Oryzias latipes: one gene and its partner. The protein of the gene in region 2 purifies or fractionates together with the protein of the main gene of each other region. This does not show direct contact. Links are inferred from orthologs where the notes say so. Each region holds a gene or a part of one and is shown on either strand. Other genes may lie near its edges.

What was found.
Region 1: the proteins of sigmar1 (region 2) and npc1 purify together in Homo sapiens (affinity purification with mass spectrometry; 3 studies listed by BioGRID and IntAct, with this or other methods). This does not show direct contact. The link is inferred for Oryzias latipes from reciprocal best matches to the Homo sapiens genes SIGMAR1 and NPC1.

Annotation. Positions count from the first base shown.
Region 1 is NC_019875.2:28,656,863-28,660,517, forward strand, and holds part of npc1 (Niemann-Pick C1 protein), read right to left. Parts: intron 1,963-3,655; coding exon 1,833-1,962; intron 1,748-1,832; coding exon 1,562-1,747; intron 1,453-1,561; coding exon 1,221-1,452; intron 1-1,220. UniProt on the Homo sapiens protein: Intracellular cholesterol transporter which acts in concert with NPC2 and plays an important role in the egress of cholesterol from the endosomal/lysosomal compartment.
Region 2 is NC_019870.2:19,566,481-19,570,796, forward strand, and holds the start of sigmar1 (sigma non-opioid intracellular receptor 1), read right to left. Parts: upstream 2,803-4,316; 5' UTR 2,708-2,802; coding exon 2,563-2,707; intron 2,417-2,562; coding exon 2,365-2,416; intron 1,529-2,364; coding exon 1,380-1,528; intron 1-1,379. Other genes in the region: galt (galactose-1-phosphate uridylyltransferase), read left to right, coding at 3,202-3,238. UniProt on the Homo sapiens protein: Functions in lipid transport from the endoplasmic reticulum and is involved in a wide array of cellular functions probably through regulation of the biogenesis of lipid microdomains at the plasma membrane.

The DNA of each region.
Region 1 (3,655 bases), on a different chromosome or scaffold from region 2:
GCGATCACGTGCACGTTGGGTCTAATGGCCCCAAAGGATTCTGGGATGCGGCCGGGCATGCGTGTTTCATTTTGTTGAACCATGACTGAAGTGTCTAAGACCTGAAGTCAAGTCCATGCTGTTTGGCTGCTTAGAGGTGTGTTGAATATAAATGTCTTGTGCTTGGTGTTAGATAAAGAATACAAACTATTCACTGAGTTCGAAAGTACGTACATGGCGGCCGCTAATTAAATCCATAAATTAGCCGCGTCACTGAATAAGCCGCAGGGCTGTAAGCGCAGGAAAAAAGTAGCGGCTTGTAGTCCGGAAATTACGGTACATTTGTCAGTAACGGAGGAACGTAACGACATACAGTTCGAATTTAGATAAAAAATTTAATTACTGGACTATGGAAACCCTCGTTACTGCAGTACTTGGGTAAAAATGTCTCGGTTAAATGAAACAAAACAAAAGTAATAAAAAGAACAAAGTTACTGTACGTGCAAGCCTGCACGCACAGATTTATTAATTCATTCTCTTACTTTATTTTCTCTCTAAGCTGCACAGCGTAAAACATGAAAACATGACATTTTTTCTCCACATGTGTTGCAACGTCTGTAAACTATAATAAAACCAGGTTGTGTCTTGAACCAGGTTCATTCTTTGCACAAGGTCATTGGTGTAAAAATAAAGTTAAAAGAAATACAAGAGGGTCTAGTTTGTGCTGTTTTCCCCTTTGAGAAACTGAATATGAGAGGAAGAAATGTAAAGTAATGAGTGGTGAATTACTTTTTCCAATAGGTAATAAGTAGAATCATTTAATTACAATTCTAATCCAGTAACTAAGAAAGGTAATCAATTACTTTTTAGAGTAATTTACCCAACATCTGAATGCCCATTTTTCACCTGCAGACAGCTCTTATCCACCTGTTAGGGCAGGTGTGACTGAGTGCCATTTTAGTACTTTTAAAACTCCTTTTTAAAAGTGTTTAACATTGCTGACAGTTTAACAACCAATTTATGTAAATTTAAAGTGAACCAAAGGTAGTCTTGGAGCAGAGAAGATGGAGGCCAAGTCTACAGAGGAGGCAGCAGCACACATTTACTGCATCAGTGAGACACGGCCTAGTTCCATTTCAACAGGTGAATCATCCTAACGGACAAGACCGAACCCCAAAAACTGAAACTCTCATTCTAACTCAGACTCACGGCGATCCCCGTCCATCCCGCCGTTTCCTTACCATCACCAAGTTCACCAGAGACACTGCGTTGAGGCTGATGTCCCAGAGCCACATGACCCCGAACATGTTCACCAGGATCATGGCGATCGTGATGCTGACCATCAGAGCGGACCACACCTCGAAGCCCAACAGCACCGTGGTCACCACGAATATGGCGGCCAGCGACACGCCGAGGTTCAGCGCCGTGTCGTAGGCGATGGTGAGGTACTGCTCGTAGAACACGTAGAAGACGCTGCAAAGGGAAAACGGGAATAAGGAAAAACGATTAGCAGCTTAGTGAGCAAAACCTGCTATGCCGACGGGGAAATGGAATTCATTTCATTCAATCCAACCAAACTAACCTGTAGGCAAAAGCCTTGTGGTTGATGGACTGACTGATGTTTTCTGCCAGGACTCGACCCATTTTCAGGGCATTGATGAAGTCTGGAGAGTCCTTCAGGATGGTGTGGTAGGTCATGAAGTACGTGGCTCCCACGCCGCCGTCGTTGGGTTTCAGGTCCACTGCTGTGGCATAAGCTGCATGACCACTGCAGAGGCACGCATGAAAAACATTACAGCAAGAACCGGCGAGGATCACAGAACGCGTTTGTGTTTTCAGGGAGGATCCATTACCCTTTTCCACACTTGGGGTTTGGATTGTCAGACAAGAACATGGGTAAAAACCGCATGAACTCTTCTCCTACGGGCCTCTCCTTCCCAGCAGGAGTCATGGGTCGACAAGACACGCAGGACGGGTTTATCACTGGAGAAATACAATGTATAGAAATAACATCAAATAGCAGGTTTTAGTTGACACTAAGAAAAAACATTACTTGGTTGTTTTTTTGCATTGTAACCCTTATCTGGTTTTCAACTTCTATTTAGGGTTATTTATACTTAACCAGTCAGAGTGCTGATCATTTAAACAAACTGTAACAAATAAAAATACCCAGTAACAAAGACAAAAGCACTAGTCCATCGTAAAACTCAGTCCATCGTACAACCTGCTACTGTCTGAATCCATAAAGTTCCTATTTGGATCAATCACAAATGTTATCGCTACATCAAGCCTGTGCGCTACGCATTTCCCAAAACACGGCGATAAAGGATTACCTTAAATATTTACACACAGTAATACAATCTCATGGCAGCTTCAAGTATCTAATGAATCAAATATTTTTCTAATTTTTCATATTTGACCAATCAGACGGGGTCCTTCTATGTTAGATGCCTGAATCTTATGTAGATGAGGTTCATATGGAGAACATTTTATGCTTACTTTTGTTTAAAAAAGTAAACATAAAATGCACACAAATTGTGTGCATTTTCAGTTTCACAATTTTGCACACAAATTTCAGACATTCTTTATTACAGTTTATATTTGTCCACTTGTATATACTGATTATTTAATATTACATATAGTTATTCCTTGCTATTCTTGCACTGAAATGGCGATGCTTCAATTTCATTGTACAACAGACAATAACAAAGCAAATCAAATCAAATCTAATCTAAATAAAACTGCTGCAGGGAAATCGAAATGATGTGTCAGTGTTTTTGTTTTTTGCCATTTGCTCATATACAGCAAGTCATTTGGTTATTTTAATATTGGTTACAAATATCACACATCCCTAATTAATATCTATATCTCTATATCTATATCTATATATATATATATCTATCTATCTCTAGATATATCTCCATCTATAGATATATACCGTAAATTCCGGACTATACAGCGCACCCGATTACAAGCCGCACCCACCCATTTTAACGTGTTTAACTAGTTTTGTACATACACAAGCCGCATTAGAGTACAAGCCGCATGTATTAGGCAGCATGATCATCCTGACAAATCACATCCTGATTCCTAGGATAAGTGTGACTCAGTAATAACTCTGTGGCAGGGGCCAGCCTTGCCTCAGGCTCATTTATTTGAATACACCCACATCTGCCTAACAGCATGGACCTCTATTCTGTTCACAAGTTTCTCAGTTATGTTTTTTTTTTTTTTTTTTTTTTTACTTATTGACAATCTAGGTATCATACATAAAATTACAAACAGTAACCATGTAATCAACATTACATCCCTCAGTTATGATGAGGAAATTTACATCCGCGATCCCCCATTTCCCATGAGTCTTAGGGGCTAAAGGCGGGGCCAACGCCCGGCTCGTCACACTGTTGTACGTGTTTAAGAATGAGCAAGGAGCAGCAGTGCATGGAGGGTGAACGGGAACAGCTCTCCTTCCGCTTGTGTCGCGGCAGCGTTATGGGAATAACAGGGCTGGTTAAAAACACACACAACTAAAATAAAGCAGCGGCGACCGAAAAGCGCGTGCCTCAGCGCGGCGCGCGCGTCAGAAGTTTCCTTCCAAAACAAACAAACACGCCTCTGCGCTCCGCGCTCGCCAAGCGGGCTCCTTGTCTCCCCTTCCTATCCGAAAATCTCACAC
Region 2 (4,316 bases):
AGTTGGAGCCGGAAGTAAGGCATTTTCTATGGGTGACGTCTCACCCACTCAGTCCTGGGGGGTATTCCAGGAAGCAGGTTATGCTAGCTCCCACGGTAAGTTTGAGGCTAAGGAAGTTGATAACCTCAGCTTTCGGTTCCAGAAATGGAGGTATGTTTCAGGGTATGTCAAGTTGCCATGGCAACTCATGCTCTGAACACAACCTGGTCTGGAGCAGGTTTAGTTGAAGCTTAGTTTGTTTTCAGAGAGGTGAAGCAGCATGGCGTGTCCATTTGAAGATGATTTAGTGGATGAAGAAGCTCAAATAATACTTTTTCCACTATGAGAGGGTGATAAGACCACGTATGGATGTTGGAAAGATAAACTTTGTTGATGTAACTTAATTATTTGCTTCAGTTAATATAATTAAAAATCATTTTTTTGTTTAGTCAGTTTAAAAATAACACGTAGTTTTCAGACAGTTATTTTATTTTTATTCAAATGAATTCAATTAAGTAGGTGTAACTTTGCTGCTGCTGTTAGATCGGCACCACAAGGGATTCTGGGATATCATTCCCTTTGCCTGTCTGGACGGATTTGGGTTCAAGTGTGGGTTTTTGACCAAATGTGTTTAGTTGTTTAGCTGTTTTACTGTGTTTTGCTGAGTTATTTTGTCCTACTCTGCACCATGACTGAAAGGGAGGGAGAGGATGATGAGTTTATATAGCACCCCTGCTGCCTATTGCTGTAATGACAATGTCGGAAAATTTCTAAATGGATGTATTCTCCAGGCGTGTATCGTTTTGTTCTTTTTCTTGTTATAAAAATGAGTATATCTGCCAGCTCAGACTTAAACATTTGAGAGTTCAAGAATTATAATTCATTAGGATGGAAAAATTATTAATTGAATTGGAGTAATAAGAGATTTAGTTAAATAAATATGTAAATTTGAGTTGTATAAACAATTATTGAGTTTTATAGACGTAAGAAATTAGGTTGAATAAATTTAACTCAATTACTTGTTACCAATAGAAGTAATTCATTTAAGGTGGCAAAATTGGTGTTTAAACATGCTTCTTGGAATACCCCCCAGTTCTCTTATAATGTCAACTTTAAAAAAACGATTCAAAGGGAAAAACAAAAGAAACAGAAAAACTAACGATAATACAAAATGCCAGCTGTTACAAAAATGAACAATTTTTTCAATTCAAATTTCAAATTTCCCCCCAGAATTTCAATATTTCTTTCAAGTTTCTAATTTAAACTTTTATTTTTTCAATTTTTCAATATTTCCTTCAATTTTGAAATGTGTAATTTGGAGTTTAAAACTATCAAGTTTACGATCTGGTTTTAGATCCACTTTAATCTGATCCTGATTTGACGCTTTACTGCTTGTTTACCTGAATGTCCGCTTGTGTCCACTGCAGTGCCAAACAGCAGCAAGTATTCTGTCAAAGAGGCGTGAAGAAGACACATGGAGCCCATCCAGCCTCCTGCATTAACAAAAATCCACTGCAAGTCTTCATCAGGCAGGATGCGGCCGGGATATCTAATTAAGGAAAACCGAAGAGGTTACTTAGATTAAGTTTCTATCAAGAGCTAGAATATTGAGATAAATGTTACAATTAAAAACACGTGAAAATCACATCAACAAATCACTCAACACACAAAAATATTAAAGATCACAATGATCACAATAAAAAAAGGAATAAAATAGAATAAGACAAACAAATAAGGTGACTGACTATAAATAATAAAAAATAAAGTGATCACTGTAAAAATGAGAAAAATGCAAAGTATGTTTTGCTTTTTAAATTGCTGTTGTGAAATTTTAGGTTTTGGCATTTCAGGGCCACCGTACATTTGACATTACATGGCGTTAACTCTTAACAGCAGAAAACTACTGAAATTTAACTACAGACAATCCTTTTTTATACATGAAAACATGTTTGTTAACTGCAGCTTTACATTTACGTAATATAATATTAGCTGACTATTCAAAGATGATACATTACTATAAACGGAGATTATTTAATCTGTATCAATATCTTTGATTTATTTAAACTTTCCTTTTTCATCTGGTTGACAAAAATGTAGAAAAACATATTTTAAAAAAGTAGAACACGATGAAATTTGCTGATTTAATTGTCTTTACAGCATAATAGTTTTAGCAAAAACAATAATAATTTCTTCTGACGATTTAAAAAATCTTACTTAAAAAAATTATAATTGTTTTGTTCAAAACCAAAGTATTTTCATACAACCCCCCCCCACCCCCCACAAAACGACAGTTAATTGAAAAAAAAAATCTACAATTGAGTAACTGAAAGTGAACTGACCTAACAAACAGTCAAGGAGATTTGTGCAAGAACAAGTCGCTTTTACCTTTTCCTAAGCTCCACCACCACTTTGGTGAAGGCGTGTTCATGATCCTGCCCTAAAAAAAGATGCATACACAAATAGCACAATTCAACACCATGAAGTGTTAATGGCAGAAAGGTCAACATCATTTTCTAACCCAATTACAGTTACTTAGAACTGTTAAGCGAGTGAAATGTCGTTCATTCTGATTGTCAGACTCGCCTGCATACTGTTTGACCAACTTGGCAATATCGTCTCTATTAAAAACATAGTCCTTTGTGGCCATCCAGTTCTGAAGCACCAACACAACCAGGACGCCGACGGAGGCCAACACGAGCAACTTAAAAATGGCTTTAATAAAAGACATGGTGGCACAGACAGCTGCAAATCCCGCTACATGTGTGAGAAGGCTTGCTCCATAAGGGAAAAGTGGAATGCCTCCTTCCTTGTCACGTGACAGCAAGAATGGGTCATTTTAACCAATCAGAGGCAGACTTCGTCGTGGGGCGAACTGGCGACAGAAAGTTGCCAGCACAGTATCAAAACCCCCTCTAAGATCATTTGTACAAACCAAGTGAAAACACGTACATGCTTCGAATAATTTATAAAATATTTATATTTACTCACAATATGATATTATATTTGTCTGTGTAATTCAATGTACATCTGTTTTGTTTCTTTCTTTATTTTTTAAAGCTTTTTTCGCGATGTTTAACATTGTTTCGAAATGGCACTTTTGGGTCGTCCGACGAATAACAGGAAGTAAGACAAGGGTCGCTGTAGACAGACCATTCATACAGAGTCCAGGATCAGTGAAAAGGTTCACCGAATATTATAGACTTTTCTTCAGCTGCTTACATCATGAGCGGCGAACAAGGCGTGAGTTTCGACCCAAAAGGTGTGTAAAATGAAAGAAACCAACACTCTGGAAAAACAAAACAAAAAGAGGCATTCTGTTTTGCGGCACATGATATTTACTTTGAAAACCTGATGATCATACACTTAAGAAAAGGACAGAAACATAACTAATAACGAGTTCATAATCCAGTCGTTTTAAAAGACAGACGTAGCAAATTACTATTCAAATTAGTTAATAAGTGATAGTGTCCATAGCATATCCAAATGAAAACTATTGAGGCATTTGTGTTGTTTGTTAGTTAGTAGATTACTGAATTAACAGGTAAACTAATCTGTTAGCTTATGTGGTTTAAAAAAAAAATCTCCCAACAACTGTCTCGTGATTTTAGTTTCTGCTGATGTTGTTTTCTGGTTCAGCAGTTTTTTTGTGCCTGCTGTGCGACAACGAAACCTACTTTTTGCTGTTATGGTAAATAGTTAAAACCAAATTGATTTCAAATGACAGATGAAATTATACATGTTCTCAATGAAAACTTATGTTCCATGTGCTTTGTTTTTAGAGGTAGTTGTTGTGGTGCAGGGGTCTGCAACCTTCAACACTTAAGAGCCATTTGGGCCAATTTCTCACTGAGCACTATAATCCAGTGGCAGGAACCACAAGTCTTATTTCACCTTGTAGAAAAATAAGACATGAGTTTTTATTGACAATAATGTTATTGGTACTATTATGATGAGTATAAATATATATTTTTCTTTTTGCATAGATAAGACAAACATAAAGAGAAAACAGCCTTCTTTTCAAATTATGAAATACTTTAGACAGAGGTTTACATAACTGGCTTTCAAAATAAAAGACTCTGAACCACATACCACCATTTCAAAGCAGACAATTTGGTAAGTTGTGTGAAAAACAAAATAAAAAACAGTTTAATTTATTTTTATTTGTAGGAGATCTGACAATCAAAAATGTAAATCTAACTTATTTGAAGCCTTAAAATGTAAAGTTTCAAAACTTAAAATTCCTTAATTTGTAAAAAATAGAGATTCTGCTTTATAATCGGAGGTGCCTTGATCCTGGTTGTGCTTACTGACCTCCGATTTATTTTCTGTTGTACACG